4 linked regions of the Yarrowia lipolytica genome follow. The protein of the gene in region 4 interacts with the protein of the main gene of each other region in a pairwise test. Links are inferred from orthologs where the notes say so. Each region holds a gene or a part of one and is shown on either strand. Other genes may lie near its edges.

What was found.
Region 1: the proteins of YALI1_D18770g (region 4) and YALI1_A04119g interact in binary tests that used the Saccharomyces cerevisiae proteins (3 or more experiments, as listed by UniProt). The link is inferred for Yarrowia lipolytica from reciprocal best matches to the Saccharomyces cerevisiae genes MAK21 and RPF2.
Region 2: the proteins of YALI1_D18770g (region 4) and YALI1_E08828g interact in binary tests that used the Saccharomyces cerevisiae proteins (3 or more experiments, as listed by UniProt). The link is inferred for Yarrowia lipolytica from reciprocal best matches to the Saccharomyces cerevisiae genes MAK21 and RRP12.
Region 3: the proteins of YALI1_D18770g (region 4) and YALI1_B22015g interact in binary tests that used the Saccharomyces cerevisiae proteins (3 or more experiments, as listed by UniProt). The link is inferred for Yarrowia lipolytica from reciprocal best matches to the Saccharomyces cerevisiae genes MAK21 and DRS1.

What each region holds. Positions count from the first base shown.
Region 1 is NC_090770.1:410,288-413,419, forward strand, and holds YALI1_A04119g (uncharacterized protein), read left to right. Parts: upstream 1-1,636; coding exon 1,637-2,602; downstream 2,603-3,132. Other genes in the region: YALI1_A04109g (uncharacterized protein), read right to left, coding at 1-694. UniProt on the Saccharomyces cerevisiae protein: Required for biogenesis of the 60S ribosomal subunit.
Region 2 is NC_090774.1:878,804-884,479, forward strand, and holds YALI1_E08828g (uncharacterized protein), read right to left. Parts: upstream 4,068-5,676; coding exon 516-4,067; downstream 1-515. UniProt on the Saccharomyces cerevisiae protein: In association with GSP1, required for nuclear export of both pre-40S and pre-60S ribosomal subunits. Required for the late maturation of the 18S and 5.8S rRNA of the pre-40S ribosomes and for maturation of the 25S and 5.8S rRNA of the pre-60S ribosomes.
Region 3 is NC_090771.1:2,198,729-2,203,551, forward strand, and holds YALI1_B22015g (uncharacterized protein), read right to left. Parts: upstream 2,866-4,823; coding exon 514-2,865; downstream 1-513. Other genes in the region: YALI1_B21966g (uncharacterized protein), read left to right, coding at 1-34; YALI1_B22020g (uncharacterized protein), read left to right, coding at 3,370-3,438, 3,496-4,823. UniProt on the Saccharomyces cerevisiae protein: ATP-binding RNA helicase involved in ribosome assembly.
Region 4 is NC_090773.1:1,875,529-1,880,890, reverse strand, and holds YALI1_D18770g (uncharacterized protein), read right to left. Parts: upstream 3,841-5,362; coding exon 550-3,840; downstream 1-549.

The sequences.
Region 1 (3,132 bases), on a different chromosome or scaffold from region 4:
CGGCCTTTGTGTCTCGCAGAGTCCAGTAGTTGAGAGCAGCCTCGTCCTTATCTCGAAGAGAGAGGCCAATGAGACGGCCCGAGGACAGAGACAGCACCAGCGTGACATCGTCCATGCGGTTCACGTGCTCAATCACCTCACCACTGTATAGCTTAATCTGGGTCTCCACCTGCTGTCGTGTTCGCAGGTACCCTTCAGCAGCTGCACCTCCCACTGACTCCCAGAAGACACACAAACCAGAATTGACACCCACTAGCACCAGACCGGGATGTCCAACGTCCTTGAAACTCGGCGTCACGGGGATCAGGTGACCCAGAGCATTATCCTGGACTCCCAGACTATGTGTAAAGGTCTCTGGGGTCGGCTCAGGAGATGTGTACTTCCACACATGTGCCTTGTTCCCCACAACCACCAGCCCAAAGTCGTCAGATAGCGATGAGCTCACATGCTCACCGGAATCAAAAGCAATCTCCACTCCTGATAGATCGGGTCTTGCTGCCAATCGCGTCACATTGTACATGGCCGTGCGGGTGATTTCGGAGCCATAATCCGCCAGACTGTCCTCCACAGCCGACAGGTTGGTGAACGACTTTTCCGTCACATCGTCGTTGAAGAGCGTCGCAGGCACAACTCGGTTGAGTTCTTGCTGCACCGCTTTTTGCCGCAGCTTTCGAATATTGCCAATTTGCGACATGGATGGATGTGTCTGTGTTTGTGTTTGGATCTTTTTGTGCAACTCTCAATTGCCTGCATTAGGGTTAGGGTCTACCAGGAGGTGGATTATGTTGTGGAATGATGGTTGTCGTAATTGCACAAAGAACCAACTACAATGGACTTTTAAACCCTTGATAGTGCCGTCACGGCGACTCCTGTTATTGTTTTGTGTCTTTGGACGCTCTATTGTCTCGTTCTTCTTGCAAATACTACCCTAAGTAAAATACCAACTAATACGAGGTTCACAACAAAGGATTAACAAAATTGACACAACCTACGGGCCAACTAATAGTCAAGTAGGCCCTCAACAACATTCTCGCTCTTTCTGAAACCAACAACATCAACTGGGAACCAGGAAAGTAAAGATATAGCTATATATCAGTTATTAACTCGTCAATTAATACGACCAGATTGGATTATACATTTTACTATCGTATGTGATTGTAACATCACCATCATTCTTAACAAAATCCTCAACCCTTTTCAATCAAGTTGGTGGTTGATAGAAACTAAAGCTGTAATAGATACTATACCCAACTCATACCTTCATCTCATATACATATGCTCGCTACAAATTATTTCTCCCAATCCTCTTGTTTGCCACTCACAATAGTGGCGATGATTAGTAAACTGATCTCAGTAGGTTTTCAATAGTAAGACACCCAAAAGTAGCCATTGACGTACGAAAAGTGTGCGTGTTTTTTTGAAAATTAGGTGTCACATGACCATAATAATCACTTTTCATATCACGTGACCAAATCATCTCGCACAGTCGTCCAAACACCTCCGTCTACTGACATTTCTACTACTCCATCTTATCAGGGTAAGGGCAACCGTAACTGTAAAAAATTTATGCAGGCGGTGAAATTTTCGCCTACGCAGACATTACACCGAACCACAGTTACAGGTACAGCAAGAAAATATGTTGCGACAAGTGAAACCGAAAAACGCTCGGGCCAAGCGAGCCGTCGATGCCAAGGAGCCCAAGATTGTCGAGAACACAAAGCAGGCGCTGTTTGTGCCCGGCCAGACCTCCAACCAGCTTCTTCACGATGCCATGGTGGATCTTTGTGCTCTCAAGCTGCCCGATGGCAAGCGATTCAACAAGAAGAACGAAATCAACCCCTTTGAGGATGTGTCCTCGTTGGAATTCTTCTCGGAAAAAAACGACACATCTCTGCTGGTCTTTTCGTCGTCTAACAAGAAGCGACCCAACAACCTGACCTGGATCCGAACGTTTGGATACCAGCTCTTCGACATGATCGAGCTGCAGATTGTCAACCACCGACTGTTACGAGATTTCAAGGCCCAGACTGTGGGTGTGGGTCTCAAGCCCATGTTTACCTTCAACGGTACCGGCTTTGAAACCGACCCTGTTCTGATGCATGTCAAGTCTCTGTTTCTGGACTTCTTCCGAGGCGATACCACCGATCTGCAGGATGCTGCCGGTCTGCAATATATCATTTCAATCTCTGCCGGCGAGGTGCAGGAAGACAAGCCTCTGCCTCTGATCAACTTCCGAGTTTACAAGATCCGATCTTTCCGATCTGGCCAGAAGCTTCCTCGAATCGAGCTGCAAGAAATCGGCCCCCGATTCGACTTCAAGATTGGCCGACGACAGGCTGCTGCTCCTGACGTGGAGAAGGAGGCTCTGCGAGTGCCTGAGCAGCTGCGACAGAAGACCAAGAAGAACGTGGAGGTGGACAACATGGGTGACAAGATTGGCCGAGTCCACGTGGGTAAGCAGGATCTGGGCAAGCTGCAGACCCGTAAGATGAAGGGTCTCAAGAAGAAGTACGACCAGGTCGAGGACGACGAGGAAGCCGATGACGAGGTGGTCACCACCAAGAAGGCCCGAGTGGAAGAGGAGGAGTATTTTAATGAGTAATTGATAGAATGCATTTTAATGATAACCGTTTGTGTAGCCACGTGAACAAACTCCAAATTTTTTCATCAAACAAAAGAGATTGCGTATTCCGTTCGATTCATCAAGGGTAGATATCTATTTAATTTTTAGTATTAGTATTATATTAGATTGTTTCGTATGTCACGATACCAGAAAACATTCTGAAACTGTCTTCCATGTGGTTTTTATCGAACTGATGTCAAAAGGAGAAAAAACGACCAGTAGAGTCGTCTTCCAACCAACCACGGCGTCAATAAAAAGTGATTTATAGATGGATATGTATCTTTTTAAATGAATTGAGATGTTCTCAGACAAGTATAAATACACGGCAAGTGCAGTATTACCTGAACATAATTACAAAAGATCAAGCGTCTACAACTACAAACTCTCTACGACTCAAATATTCGGGTGGGACTCTTTGGTCCATGATTTATTACCCAAGAGGTTCGGATTTTCACCTACTCCTCTCAAACTAGATAAACAGGTTCGGTCAGTTACGTCCTCCGGCTAAG
Region 2 (5,676 bases), on a different chromosome or scaffold from region 4:
GGCACCGTCCCCAAGCCCTTATAAGCGACTTTGGTCCTTACACCAGACGCCCAAGTTTTTTATTGAGATGTAGGTGGGTGGTTCTGTGTAGTTTCAAAACTTCTGAAAAAACGAAGAAATCATTAGAAAAAAAAAAAAAAAAACTAAACTAAAAAAAAAAAAAACCTCAAAAACATAACAACCATACCCCTACTCCAAACTTCAACTCCCCGATGTCGCAAAGACTCAATAACGATACACACGAATCATTAGAATAAAAAAAAAATCGACTTCTTGCAGTGCCTGTGCAAACGGATCGATAAGTTCTGTGTGCACACTACTGGTATTTGATGTACTGTACAGTACCGATACTTTTGTATGCCTCGAGGCTTTACGAATATCTCCCCCGACAGGTGTAGGAATCAGCTTCTCAGTAAGTTTCCAGACCATGTCTACGTCAAGTTCCCAGTCCTTCTACACTACATATTGTACACCATCTCCGTATATATTCATAACCATTCAATAATACAATTCAATTAAAACTTTCGTCGCTGCTGAGGTTTGCCCTTGGGTTTGCTCACGCCACCTCGAGAAAACTTTTTGGTGGGTCGCTTGGGCACCACGTCGTCATCATCTCCTCCGTCGTCATCTCCTCCCTTTGACTTCTTATACTTGTACTTGTTCTTCTGTCCTCGCACAGGTCCGTTCTTGATGGCCTCAACGTAATGGTCGATGGCCGAGCCCTGGGGAATCACGTCCTCCTCCTCATCCTCCTTAAAGATCATCTTACCGGACTCATTAGTCTTGAACTTGGACGATTTGAGAAGAGGCTCCTTCTTTCCTCTAGGCTTGGAAGAAGTGATGTGAGCCAGAGCCTGCTGCGACAGCAGATCCAGAGGGTCGTCGGACTTCATAATGTACTTGGAGGCCCGCTTGGTGGTCTCCTCCTCCTCATAGTCATCCTCGTCTTCAGAATCCGAGTCTCCGTACAGAGCTCGCTCGTACTCAGAGGCAAACTCCTTCTTGGGCTTGGTAGACGACATGGGAGCATCTTCCTCCTTCTCCTCGGTTCGCTTTCGCTTGGATCGCTCCTTAGACTTTCGGATGTTGGTCAGCAGCTTCTTGTCGGCCTCGGGGAAATGCTTTTCAATGGTGTCGAAGCCGAACCGTCGGATCAGACGCTCGACAATGTGCTTGACCTTGGCCTTGAAATGGCCCTTATGTTCGTGGGACCAGTGCAGCAGCTTTGGGAGAAGCTCGCTGAGCTGGGGCTCCACGAGATCGATGGGGAGAGAGATGGCCGTAATCTTGACGAAACCAAGAGTCGACTTGACGATCTCTCTGTTCTGCGAGGTCAGGAACAGCTCAACGGTTTGAGACAGCTCGCTGAGCATATCCATGGGCACGTCGTCCTTGAACTCGAACAAGATTCGGGACAGACCCGTGATGGTGGCAGACACCAGGTTGGGTGAGGTTCCTGCCAGACCAGCAGACACGGCCTTGAAGAACTCAGTCAGGTTGGCGTTGACGGATCCCAGACCGGCATCCTCGAGACCGGGGATTCGAGTGTTGTCAATTACTCCTCCTCGAGCCATCTTTTCGCCCATGAGAACCAGTAAGTTGTAAGCGGACGTTCGGGTCTTCTCGTTGACGTCCTTGGTGGCAATGACGGCTTCAGAGACGGTAGCGGGGATGAAATACAGATCGTTCTCGGGCAGCAGAGCCACCAGCTTCGCCAGAGCGGCCACTCGAGCGCCTCGAGACACAGCAGTGACAGACTCAGCAGACTCGAGAACAACACCACAGATGTTGTCAAGATGCTTCTCCAGAGTCTCGAAGCTGTTGTCGGCCTCGGCCAGACGGGTCAAAAGACGGTAGCCCTTCTTTTGGTGGTTGGGGTCGGAGTTCTGGATCATCTGCACAAAGACGGTCAGCAGAGTGTTGTGAGAAGAGGCAGGGATGTAAGGCACGAGGGCGATGAGAATGTCAAGCATGGTGAGCGACATTGCTGGCAGGGCGTCCTTCTCAGGCTTAGACTCCTTGGCCTCATCCTCCAGAGCCTTGTGAAGCATTCCACACACGTTATCGAAGATGTCGCCAATTTCGCCGGCGGGGGTGATGCCGAGGTAGGCGTTGATGCACTCGAGAATGAAGCCTCGAGACTCGGGAATAGTTTGTCCGTACACGTTGAAGAGCACCGCAAGAATCTTGGAAGACACGGTTCCGAGGTAGGCAACGTTAGACTCGGCCTCGGATCGGGGGAATCGCTCCAGAAGCAGCAGGTCGTCGTTCACATCCTCGGACTCAGCAGCCTCGGGCTCCTCGGCGTACACCACATTGCTCTCGACAAGCAGACGCAGCGACTGGCAGATAACAGGTCGGATCTCAATGTTGGAATAGAGCTTGTTGGAGAGCAGCTCGGCAAAAGACTGGTCAAACGACTGCTGGAGATCCATGGGCAGAGCGCAGAAACGGGGCAGAACGGACCAGACCTGGGCCAGCAGAGCCTCGAAGACCTTTGCGGTGGCGCCCTTGGTAGTCGAGATCTTGTCGTCAAAATACTCGATCAGTGGCAAGAACTCGCTCTTAAAAAAGGCAATCTCTGAATTGTGAATGTTGTCTCTCAGTAGAGGGAGCATCCAGGCTCGTCCGGGGTTGTCAGAAGAGGGGTTTGAAAGGTTGAGGGGGAGCAGTTCTAGCACTTTGGCAGGTCCCATGGCACGAATAGCGGACCCAAGAGCGTTGTCGAGAGCAGGAATGCCGTTAACGAAGGACTCCTCAGTTCGGAGACCTCCAATAATTGTCACAGCCTCCACAAGGAAGGGGTCGGACTTCCATCTGAGAGTGTCGAGTAGAGCTGCCACAACGTTCGTAGAGTCGACGAGAGAAGCCCGGGTCTGGACGGACAGAAGCATCGTGGCCATCTCCGCGAGCTTGGACAGCCACTTGTCGCCGTTCTGAAGCGACTTTTGGTTGATGGAAGAACACAGAGCAACGAGACACTGGGAAGCAGAGGTTCGCACACTGTCGGCCTCAGAGTCGAGATAGGCACATACCTTCTGGAAAACCACGGGGGTCTTGGCCAGTCCCTTATCAGGGTTGACCTCTCCAAGAGCACCCACTCCCTGGGCAACAACAGCAAACCAGGCAGGAGCAAGATGCTGGTCGTTGGTGGCGGGAGCCTGGTCGATCACAGCATCGAGAATAACCAGCAATTTTCGTGTCTTGTTGTTCTCGTCCTCTTCAGACTTGGCAAAGTGACGAAAGACACCCTCAAAGATGCCAAAGGTAGCCTGGATCAGCATCTGGTTGGTAGTCTTGGAAATAGACAGCAGCAGCTGACAGAGTTCGTCAAACTGCGACATAGGCCACATTCCAACGCCACAGATGGTTTTCACCAGAGCCAGCGCATGCATGAAGCCGGCATCCACGGTATCCTCCTTCTTGTGGTTCTCCAGGTACTGCTTGACGGCCTTCAGGGCTGTGTCGGCACAGGTTGCGGCAGCAGGATGCTCGACGAGCACTGGAGATACTCGGGTCTCGAGGATCTTGGCAAGTGCGTCCAGAGCTCGCTTTCTGATCTTGGGACGGGGATTGACGGCCAGATGCATCAGACCAACCACTCCTCGTCGGGGAGACAGCTCAGAAGCAGGGGTCTGCCACGAGGCAGCATCCTGGGCCAGCAGCAGATGCTGCAGAGTGCCAATGGCGGATCTGAGTAGCGCAGACTCGGAATCGGACGAGCCCAACACGGGTGCGAGCTTGACGAAAATCTGCGAAAACTTGGCCCGCAGAAGAGATTCGCTGGCGAAGGGAGACACAAGGTCGAGGAAATAGAGAGCCGAGGCGGCTAGATCGGTATTCTCGAGCTGATCGGGGGCCTGGCGGCTGAACGATTGCTCTAGCAGAGCAAGGAAAGAAATGAAGTAGGAGGTGGCGGTCTTCTCGGTCTTTTCCTCCTCGAGATTCTCCTCCACGGCTCCCAAAATAATGGCCAACTGTTTCTGGTTGGCCAGCTTGGAGTTGACATGGACGCGGATCCGGTCCAGCTTGTCCTCCAGCGGTTCCGTATGGTCGAGTTCGGACATTTGTAGATGGTGCGTGCAACTGCAATTGTCACTTTGCAGAAGACTTGAAAAAAATATTAGAGTTGATGCACTGCGAGTTTATCAGGTTGGTGGGAGAAGAGGTGGATAGTGGTGTGGGCTGTTTGGGGAGATTTCTGGGGTAATACGAGATGGTATTCTGGTGTATATTACATTTGTAGTAGTCTTAACTTGTTGGCATTCCAATATCGTGTCTCCACTGTGGCATTATGGTTGCGGTGTCACTCACTTCGATTCTCGGCTATTCCTTTTTTTAAAAAAGAAATAGAAAATGTCAAATTCTAGATTGACACTGCAATGGGAGTGTTGGGGGTGAACTTCTGCTGTAAGGGGACATGCCTCTGTACAAGTCACAATTACAGTCCAATATTATCGAATATACTGCAAATATTATACAATATATTATAATAAAATTATATTATACAAAATTATATTATACAAATTAAATGTTGATATATTTATATACAATCTCTTCATACCCACGCACAGAGCCACCAAATAAGAAGTTCACTGTACACGATTTCGAAAAATAGTGGCAAGACACGAGATGTGGTTAAGCAATGTTCTTTCGACAAGTCCAGTGTAACAGTGTTGGGGTCAATCCATTAAAGGAGACCATATGCTGTGTCCCTCCAGGTGCGTGCTGTGTTGTATCTTGTGCTGAGGAGTCCGACCTCTTCTGTTCATTCAGACGCTCCTGTGCTCATGTTCTCATGAAGTCATTTTCAATTCATCAACACCCATGATCTTCAATTCAACCCTATAGTTGAGTAACAGTCGATTAAATAAATCAGACTCGTTATGATACCGACAAACAGCCTATCATATTCCGCGTTGACGTTGGACACTACAACAAGTGGCTGAGAAACTACTTCCTTGCCCAAATTGACCGAGACAGTTCCTCTGCGGAGGACCACTGAATACTTCTTCCACGGGAACTAATCTAATGTTATCTAATGCACGATATTCCATGGACTCTGATGTAGACAAGCTCTCCAGATTCCTGGATTCTAAACACCAGTTTTGAAATGAATTGATGCCGAACCCAGGGATTCGTCGTGACACAGCAGATTAACCATGCGCTTACAGCCTTCCAGCACTGACAAACAAGTGCCAGAGTCCAAGTTCCACTTCTGAATAACCCCATAAGGAAACCCCGAGTAACATACACCTCTACAGTAATGAGGACATGAGCAACATCGTACGCACGCTTTTAATGTCCTTCAAGCACATATTGGCACTCTCCGGGTTAGTCAGGATCCCTACACGCACTGTTGTACAAGAATCCGCACAAGGGTATCTCCATGGATGTCAGTTGCTCTGAGAGAATTCTTACAGCCCGCAAAATGTGCACAGGCACTGCTGTATTCTACATGCCTATCCTTTTCAGGAAGCTTCCACACCCTCACTCTCTCTCCAGAACGAATGTATGTATCACTTTGTGTCAGAGAATGTGAGTGTGGATGCTTCTTCTTCTCTTTAGCACACGAGTGCATTTTCTGCTTGATGCTCCACATTTTCATAGTCCAATCTCTGGCGCTCACGACTGTATCCCTCAGATTGGAGGTTGAACCCAAGGCTGCTGAAGGCT
Region 3 (4,823 bases), on a different chromosome or scaffold from region 4:
GGCTGAGGCTTCTGACGCCTTCTACTATGTTTAATTCGATCCTATGTAATGACGTCAGGGTTAAACCTCATGTCTTCTGTGTTTATTTGCGTTCTCGTCTTGTATAAGCCTATGGTGGTGCGTTGAATGACATTATTTTGAAAGGTCATCCAGAGTATGTACAGTAGACTGTCGGCTTAAGTTATACTTCAGGTCAATACCTGCTGGAGATGGCTGTCCAGCTTCTACCATCCCAAATTCTCTAAGAGTAATACTACATATTGTAGGCCCATGCCTACCTTTTGATTTTTCATATTGCTGGAAATCGGAGCTGAGACTCCAGTCCATCTACAGTATTAATACCCGCAAAGGGCTCAATTTGTCTGCTGTAAACGTCAACAGTATGGTTGTATAGGACAGGAAACAAAAAGCACAGACTCCCATTGTTTTGGGGTTCTTCAAACATCGAGACAATACACATTACTGCGGACTGCATATCTATACAATAAATTCAACTATATACCATCCTTTTCTTCACTTTCGCTTACCCTTTCCCTTGGGCTTACCTCGCTTAGAGGCCTCCTTTCGATCGGTCTTGGTCTTCTTGTACATTCGGACCTCCTCGTTGTCTTTCTTCTTCTTCATCTTGTCCTTGTTGCTGGCTAGTAGATTTCGTTTGTCCGAGGTCTCATCAGCCTTCTTCTCTTGGGCATTCTGGAACCAAGTTCGCCGAGGTCGGGATGCAATCTCCTTCTCGTACTTGAGAAGGTTCTCTCCCTTTCGCACCTCCATCTCGGCCTGCAGCATGGCCTTCTCCTCCTTCTCCTCAGCCAGAATCTCGTTGACAATGTCACCCTTCTCCTCGATCTTGGAGTATAGCTTCTCGACCTCAGGCCAGTCCACGTTTCGGCCCACGGCCTTGCCCTGTTTACTCTCAGATACAGACTTGATAGCCTCGCGGACAATGGCTCTGTCAGCAGCAGCCTCCCCGACCAGAGTGATGGATCGACCTTCTCGTCCTGCTCGAGCAGTTCGTCCAACTCGATGCAGGTAGACAGCATGGGTCTGGGGCATGTCGTAGTTGACGACACACTCGATCTTGGGGATATCCAGACCTCGGGAAGCCAGATCGGTACAGACCAGAATGGGCACCTCCAGTTTTTTGAATGCTGTGATGGACTGCAGACGCTGCTCCTGAGACAGAGCTCCGTGCAGTTCTCCAATTCGGACTCCGAGCAGACCCAGCATGATTCGAAGACGATGCGCAGTCTCTTTTCGGGCCACGAAAATAATGGTTCGCTGCTCCTTGTCCATCTTCTTGAGGATGGAGGCCAGCAGAGCGGGCTTGAGATGGTCTCGCTTACGGATTCGAACAAACTCTTGCACCAGACCAGAAGCGGCCTGCTTGGGAGGGTTGATCATGACTCGAACGGGCCGAGAAAGAGACAGCTGAATAAGCGACGAAATGGACGAATTCATAGTGGCAGAGAAAAGCAGAGTCTGACGCTTCTTGGGAAGCAGTGTCAGAATCTCGGTCAGTTCCTGTTGGAAACCCTCCTCCAGCATTCGATCAGCCTCATCAATCACCAGAATCTCGACATCGTCAACGTTGAACGAGGGAGAGTTTCGAACATGATCAATAAATCGACCGGGGGTAGCAATGACAACCTCGGGTCGCGTCTTGAGCTCCTGCTCCTGAACTCGAAGGTTCAGACCACCGACAGCCAGACCGAATCGCACGCCAGAAACATACTGTGCGAGCTTCTTACCAACATCGGCGACCTGAATGGACAGCTCTCGAGTGGGAGTCAGAACCACAACCTTAGTGGCTGCGACCTTGGAGGACTTGTAGAGAAGACGCTCCAAAACAGGAATGATGTACGCAGCAGTCTTACCAGAACCAGTGACGGCACCAGCAACCAGATCCTTGCCCATGAGAGCAATGGGGATGGTTCTGCTCTGAATCGGAGTGGGGGCCTGGTATCCCAGAGCAGAAATACCCTTCATGACGGGTCTAGACAGATTCAGAGTCTGAAAGGTTTTGTGCACAGACTCAGTCTTATCGTTGTTCTCCTCCTCGGGAGCGTAGAATGCAGCCATCTCCTCGGCAGTGTCCTGGGGTCCCTCGTCGATGGCAGGGCCTTTATGGTCATCCAAAACCAAATCATCGGGGTGCATACACTCCTCAGCCTCGGAGTCGCTTCCATCAGAGTCCTCCTCCTCTTCATTCTCAACCTCTTCTTTGTTCTCCTCGTCCTCGTCCTCAGGCTCATCCATGTCCTTTCCGGGCTGGACTCCTCCTCCGAAACCATCAATGGCCAGATCATCTTCGTTCTCCTCCATCTTAACGTCTGTCTCGGCCTCGTCCTCGTCCTCGTCCTCGTCCAGAAGGCCTCCTTTTCTCTTGATAATGCTGTCCAAATCAACTTCTCGCTTCTGGACCTTGTTGTCGTCCTTGGACACCTCAAAGTTCCAGCCGTCCAGACCTTCAGAGGTGGCAGCAAATCCGTCCAGCGAAAACTGGAAGTCGGGGTTGATGCCGGCCTTGGCAGCCTGCTTTTCTCGCTCCAGTAGCTCCTCGTCGGCTTCACTGAGTTTTTGCTTCTTCTGCTTCTTTGTCAGCTTGACAGGCTTCTCCTCCACCTCTTCCTTCTCGTCTGCACTCTCCTCCTCCAGATCTTCACCGTCGGAATCTAGAGTCATGACAAAGTCGTCCTTTACTTTGGAAATCATGGCAGCCGATTGTTTGGACTTAGTAGCCTTCTTGACCGGTTTGGTCACTTTTCCCTTGACCATTTTTGTGTGTGTTATTTGCGTGCTGGTTTGAAATAGGGTGGATAATTTATTTCTGCATGGACATATTTTTCCAATAAACTCTGGATGCATTAATGACGCACAGTCATGTGATTGACGTTAGGAGGAGGGTGAGGGAGTGAGTGTTGCAGTAGAAGTACGAGTACATACTGTAGAGGGTTATAACTTGATGAATCTTGGCTGAAGTGTCAATGTGAACAGATTTTATGACCATCAAGCCATTACAATTGATCACTAATAGTCATATAATCCAAATCTGTTCTTTAATCTGTTATTACATTGTTCACCTTACGAAGTCCACCTGCCATCACACGCAGCAAGCCAGCATGTGGGTACAATAATTGCCCACAATACAAGAACAACTCATTTCACGATCATTAAATTGCATAGATAAACTGCTTCAACAACCTCTTACCTGTGATTATTTTTCATCACTTATTGTAGTCACAATATACAGTAACCTCTCTGTTGTAATTACTCCCCTGCCTCTTCTTTCGCCTCTCCCAACCGCAGCACTGCAAAACGCGTCAACACGAAGCTTTCCATTTATCACCACTGGAACGCAGTGCAAAAAAAATGCCTCCCAAAGATATCCGCAGTTTCTTTGGAGCCCAAAAGACCAAGGCGCCGGCCAAGTCCAATGACGTGAGTACCAATTGCACTGCCCATCTGTTTTGATTCACGCAAAAACCACTAACATAGAAACGGCCAGCCACCACGTCTGTGGACGAAGAGAGAAAGCCCAAAAAGGTCAAACAGGAGGTCAAACAGGAGATTAATTCCGAGCCCGAGAAGTCGCCCGTCAAGCCAAAGATTCCCGCAAAGCCCAATCCCACTGCTAAGACCAAGTCTCCTGCCAAACCTGCTCCCAAAAAGCGGACAATCCAGATTGACGATTCTGACAGCGAAGATGGAGAGGCCCCTTATGAGATAGATATGGACAGCGACGACGGGTTTGTGGACGACGATGATTTGCCCGTGAAACCTGTGCAGCGACGAACACGACGATCGGGGCCAGTCAAGGATGACGATGTGATTGAGATTGATGAGGACGACAATGTGGTCAAGAAGCCACCTCCCAAGGCAAGCGTATCAAATAAGGGCCCAATCATTGACTATGACGATCTCGATGACGACGATCTCGAGCAAATCAAGCGTGCTCCTAAAAAGGCTGCCCCCAAGCCCAAGGCTGCTCCAACGGCCGCCCCCAATGCTCGATCCGCACCTGGAGGGGCTACAGCAGAGTCTGTACTAGCGCAATTACCCGACGCCGAGCTTCCCGAGGTCGAGGAGGGGAAGAAGTTCAACTTCCGAGAGCATCTGGCCAAGAACACGGCCACTGGAAGTGGAGAAGGAGGAGGAGCAGTGGAGCTTCCTGAGGCGGCCGAAAACTGTCTGGTGGGCCTCACGTTCGTTTTCACTGGCACCATGCCCAACTTGTCGCGAGAAGAGGGTCAGGCCGCAGTCAAAAAGTACGGAGGTAAGGTCACTTCTTCCATTTCTGGTAAGACCAACTGTGTTGTTCTGGGAGAAGATGCCGGACCCAAGAAGATTGAGCAGATCAAGAAGCTCAGAACCAAGGCTCTGGATGAAGCTGGTTTCTTGGAACTGCTCAGACTCATGCCTGCTGACGGTGGAGGGGGTGCTGCTGCTGAAAAGGCGCTAGCTAAGCAGGCAGAAGAGGCCGACAAGATTGCTGCTGAGAGCGCAAAGATGGCTGCTGAGATGGCGGCGCGAGAAAAGAAGGAGAAAGCTGCATCCAAGAAGGCGGACGCTTCTGGAGCCCCTCGGGCTGTGTCTATGGATGACCAGCTGTGGACAGTCAAATACGCCCCCAACAACCTGAATCACGTTTGCGGAAACAAGGGAGCGGTGACCAAGCTACAAAACTGGCTCAACAACTGGCACGACAATGCCAAACATGGATTCAAGCAGCCTGGAAAAGATGGATTTGGCATTTATCGTGCTGTTCTGCTGTCTGGTCCCCCTGGAATCGGTAAGACTACTGCTGCGCATCTGGTGGCCAACCT
Region 4 (5,362 bases):
TGGCTGGTCATCCATTTTCGCTTGAACAAAAGCAAAGACAAGCCCCAAGTAAACGTCAGAAAAGGGATTGAATGAGCCTCCCATTGATATCGGCGCCTGATCCGTTGTATCAGAATGGCCATGCCTTGTCAAAGCGTACTTGTACAAGTACGTTTGTATATACACTTATTAGAATTATATTGCAAGCTTTTGTAGTGCGGAACATGCTTCCTCTTTTTCTTCTCCGATTTTGTTAGATTATTTCTGATTTTTGACGATTTTATAAACATTGTTGGATAAATATAACTGGATTATCCGTACAATTTCAACTCTTACTGTACAGTAGTATGTACATTCGTAAAATGGTATGTATCTACACATACAAGTGTAAAGTCCAGATCACTTCAGACCTGGAAGGTAACAGACCGAACCGGTTGTCTGGTTGTCTGGTTGTCTGGAAACGTGTGATCCCAGAACCATCTGGAGATTCCAGACTCTTTGGTCGCCAAGTTATACAAACAGCAGCTCACATAAAACAATCTATTACCATAATCTATTTTCATACACCCTCTAAGAAAAGTCCTCATCATCGGATTGCAGGTACTGAGCGTAGTCGTCCATGGAGCCGAAAGTAGGCAGGTCGGAAAACTTCTTCTTCTTCTGCTTCTTGTCTCCATCATCACCGGCCTTTCGCTTGAGAGTGACCTCGTCGTCAGAAGCAATGAGGTTATCCTCATCGTCAGAGAAGTCTAGAGCAGGCTCATCATCAGAGTCAGCAGCACCTTCCTCATCCTCGTCTTCAGCTTCTTCGAAGAAGGCGGCCTCGTCCTTCTTAGAGGGCTTCTCAGACTCGGACTTCTCCTCCTCCAGATCAGAATCGGAGAAGTCGGAGAAATCTCCCTCCTCGAGCTCACCATCAATCTTGTCGAGCTCAGGGTCATCAGAGAAGTCGTCCATGTCCATATCGATGTCGTCTTCTTCGGGATCAATGTCGGGTTGGGATTTCACCATAGCATCCCAAACTTCGTCGTCGTCAAGTTCAGAATCACCTCCGATATCCTGGTACTCATCCTCCTTGGACAGCTTCTTGGTCTCCTCCTTAAGCTGCTTAGGCTGGAAGTAGTTATAGAAGAAGACATCCTCGGGGGCAACCTTGTCCTTGTTTCGATCCTTCCACTCCTGAACGTTGACGGGCTGGGCAGTGTTGGAGCCCTTGAGTCCGACCAACAGGTTGTTGGCAGCAGCTCCACCAGCCAGAGGCTGCATGATAGAGTTACCCTTGAGCTTCTGCTGCTGCTTGGGGTTTCGGTAGACGAACTTGTCGAGGAAGTGGGCCAGAGAATGCAGATCAAGATCGGGCTTGGCCAGAGACTCGCCTCTGTTGACGTAGTTTTCGGCGTAGGCAGTCACCGAAGGGTGGTAGTGTCTCAGAAGGAACTGAAGCTCGTAGAGAGAGGTGGTGTTAGCGTTTGCGAACAAGGGGTCACGCTTCTTTCCATCGTAAGAGTCCTCCTTGTGGGTCTGAGACTCGCCGCTATCCACCGACTTTTTAGAGGTATCAATGTTGACCATGAGTCCATCATCTTCCTCCTCCTTGACATCTGTAAACTCCTCGAGGCCGGTAGAAACGTTGGAGAGGGCCTCCACACCGCCAGAGATCTTTCTCACTTCTCCCAGAAGGTAAACCATACCGACTACTGAGCCAGTCTTGAGCCATCCAAGAGCAACTTGCACCATTCGCTTAGCAAAGGCCTGGACTCGCTGAACGTTGGTGTCAGCCTTGATACTTTTGAACAGCAGGTTGAGGTATAGTCCCTGCTTGGAAGAATCAACAAGACGGGGATCAAGGAGGGACTCGTAGAGAGTTCGGTAATATCGATCCTTTTGAGCGTCCTGGCACACTTGGAACAAGAGAGACAGAGCCTGGATGGCTGTACCGAAGTTGGCAGAGTGAGTAATTCTGAAAAGGGAGTCAATGTGCTTAGAAAACTCAGCCTCTGTCAGATTAGAAAAGGGGAACGCTCGGTTCAGGCCAGAGAGAATAGCAGAGATGAGTTTCTGGTTAGCTTCGTCCTTCTGTGTCTCGACAGTCTTCTGCTGCTGCTTGACACCTCCCTTCTTACCCTTGCCGGCGTTGTGACGCGACTTATGCTTGCCCTTGGTATCCTTAGCGTCCTTCTTTGTGAGATCCTTGTCGAAATCGGCCTCGTTCTCCTTTAGCACCTTCTCAAACAACAGGAAGTAGTTGGTGACAAGAGTGTTGGCCAGATCAGTGTCCCTTGATGTAAGAATACTCTGGTTGAGGGTGATGGCAGAGTAGTACTGGGAATGGTAGTCAGAGCCGGGTCGGAAAACAAGCTCCCAGATGGAGTTGATTACAATACCCTTCATGGCAGGGTGGGCCTGCATGAGCTGAAGCAGGTGGTATGACGTCTGAGAGCAGACAACGGTATCCTTGTCACCCAGCTTGTTGACAGCCAGTCGGAGCAAGTTGACTTCCTGCTCAGGCTTGGCCTTGAGAAGGTCGACAATGTGGGCTACCACCGAAGACCGCAGATGGGTGACAGTGTCGTGCGAAATTCCCTCCATGATCTGAAGCAGCTCAAAGTACTGGGTCTTGAGCCAGTCTTCAAAAGCCCAGATGGCGAGGTACTCAGGTGCCGAGTTTTTCTGGACAGGCTGGTTCTTGAACCATCTTAGTTTTCGATCAGGAAGAACACCAGCGTTGATAAACAGGTCCTTCAGAGCCTCCAGACCCTGGAGAGCAGAGGTTCTGCCCTTCTTCTTACAAAGGTACATGAGCTGTTCGAACGACTTGAGATTGTGCAGAGGAGAGTCGTGGATAAGCAGGGTGTAAGTGGAAATCTTATCACTCAGAGTACCGGAAGTGAGCATCTGCTGCATGAACGTTTGTTGCGACGATTGCTGGTTGCCCTTGTATGTGTCTTGATCCTGCTTGAGCAGCTTCATACCCTGATCCTTCAATGACTCGACGTCAGTCTCTGAAATGGGTTCGAGGGTCTCAGGCACGTCAATCTGATGGTTGTACCAATCAGGACGAGGAGGCACGGCAGTGGGAGTCTTGATGTCCTGGGGGAGAGACATGGCCTCAATAAGCTTCTCCTTGGCAGAAGGGCCAGTAGAAATGATAGGCTTAGCGGGAGCAGGCTCGTCGTCAGAGTCAGACTCGGATTCTTCATCGTCCTCCTCTGTGTCCTCATCCTCGTCATCCTCCATCCCCTCATCATCGTCCTCCTCTTGTTCCTCCTCAACGTCCTCATCCTTGACATCCTCGACGAGTTGAGGAACGTCTCCATCGAGTCCAATGTCCTTCATGAACTTGAGCAGATCTCCAGAATCAATCTTGGAGCCGTTTGAAGGGTTCACAACCACATCATCCTCTCCATCAGACAGGTCCTCCACGAGTTTGAGATCCTCTTCGGTTCCTCCGAGCTCCAGGATCTCGGCCAGCAGAGAATCAGGCTTGAATTCCTTGGTCTTGGTCTTGGTCGACTTGTCCGAGCTGGAGTCCTGGCTCTTGGTCCTGGACCCCTTACTCTTCTCGGTCTTGTCAGATCCCTTGGTCTTCGAGGGCTTTACCTCAGTGACCTTCTCTTCCTCCTTCTTGCCGAACTTGGATTTGTTGAAGTTCTTGGCCTTCTTCTTCATGGCTTCAGCCTCCTCCTTCTTGCGCTGCTCATGCTCCTTCTTCTTGGCCTCTCGGGCATCGTTCTTAGCCTTGTTCTCAGCCTTGACGGCATTCTTGGCGTCCTTTTTCTTGGAGTTTTTATCGTTGGCCGTGTCCAACTTGGCCTTGATTTTGTCGGCCAAATTGGAAAACGACGATGTTTCCAGTGACATTATCGATGTGTAGTGCTGTCGTGGTGGAGAGAAAAATATCCTGCATCAAAATCAACCTTCAGATATTTTTTTCAGTCGTGCATGAACCTTAAATTATTTTCAGAGGTTATGAATGGAGAAGGACGGCAAGTAGCGATTTGAAAGACCTGATATGAGAATAAATACAGCAAGAAAAAATAATTACAGCTATAACAAACTTATAATCTTTTTTATGATTTTTTTTTTTGTATTTCTTGAAAAATCTTTTTGAGAGATGAACCGCGATAGTGCATCTTAAGTTGACAAACAGTGACATCCCCCGAGAGAAGTGAAAAACAGAAATTCTGCTCTATATATGGGTTTGTATTTACATGAGCTGGATTCGGGGGTGGCTCCTGTGTTTCCAAATGATTGCTTTGTCACCTCTTCGTACCCTGTACAGTACATACAGGGTATACGAGGCTCGTTATATGTGTGTAAAAGTGCTTATACAATTTGAGAAACACGTGATTTTGCGAATGAATCAGTAAAAATGGAAGCAAATACTTGTAAAACTCGGATATATAACTTGTAAGTATTTGTACATTGTGCTTCTACCAAGTTCCTCATTCTCTGTTCTACCCGTACGAGTACATACTTGACATTCGGTCGATCATGTCCCTGTACATACACAACAGTTGTACCGTACGCCGGACATGTGACCTTGTGAGTTCTCTAGATTGATCGTAAGGATGATACTACCCTATCTGTTTCAATGAGTCAGATATGGTACCTGTTTGAAACTTCTGGGACCCGTGGGAATCAACGGGTGTCACTAACAGCCACTAGCAATGTTCAGACCAAAGAAGAAACGAAGGTGTCTGACGGGAAAAAAACATAGAACCAACGATAAAATTGCCCTAGGGACTGCTCGACCCGATGTGTTGGCGTCTCATGTGTAACCAGGGAAGTAACAGCGGCCCTCCCGAGGTTCAACATTGTGATACTGCACGGTATTCAGACTGTAGCACTGTGTTTTTGCACGGTCGAGTATCGCATGTACTACAAAGTAGTACCTACTTTTACTCGTGGAGATTCTCTTGTGATTCAGTGACACGTTGATACCTGCGACTCAGTGCTCTGCAGCGTCATTACTTTGCAACTATGCTTGGCCATCGTACATTCCCGAGTCGATCACGTTTCCCCAACAGGAGTAAACACTTCGATACGGTTTATGGCTTGACGTTCATCACGAGATCCGAAAAAGCAAGCACAATATGTGGATTCTGGTGATTATTCTAGTCTGCCTGAACGGGGACTTCAGATACCACTTACCATGGCTACAAGTAGGGTACAAGTGTAACAGTCCAAGTCCCTTGAGATACTGGGGTTCACTTTTCACGGTTTGGTGATGATGACAATGTCGATCTTTCTTCTCCACACAACCGGCACGATATATCATCATTGACGCTGAAACAATTCACATGCTGGTTTCAGAGCCTCACCTGAGCGGACTGAGACAGAGCAAAGAGTGAGTAACTGGCTACAATAGAATCAAAAGACG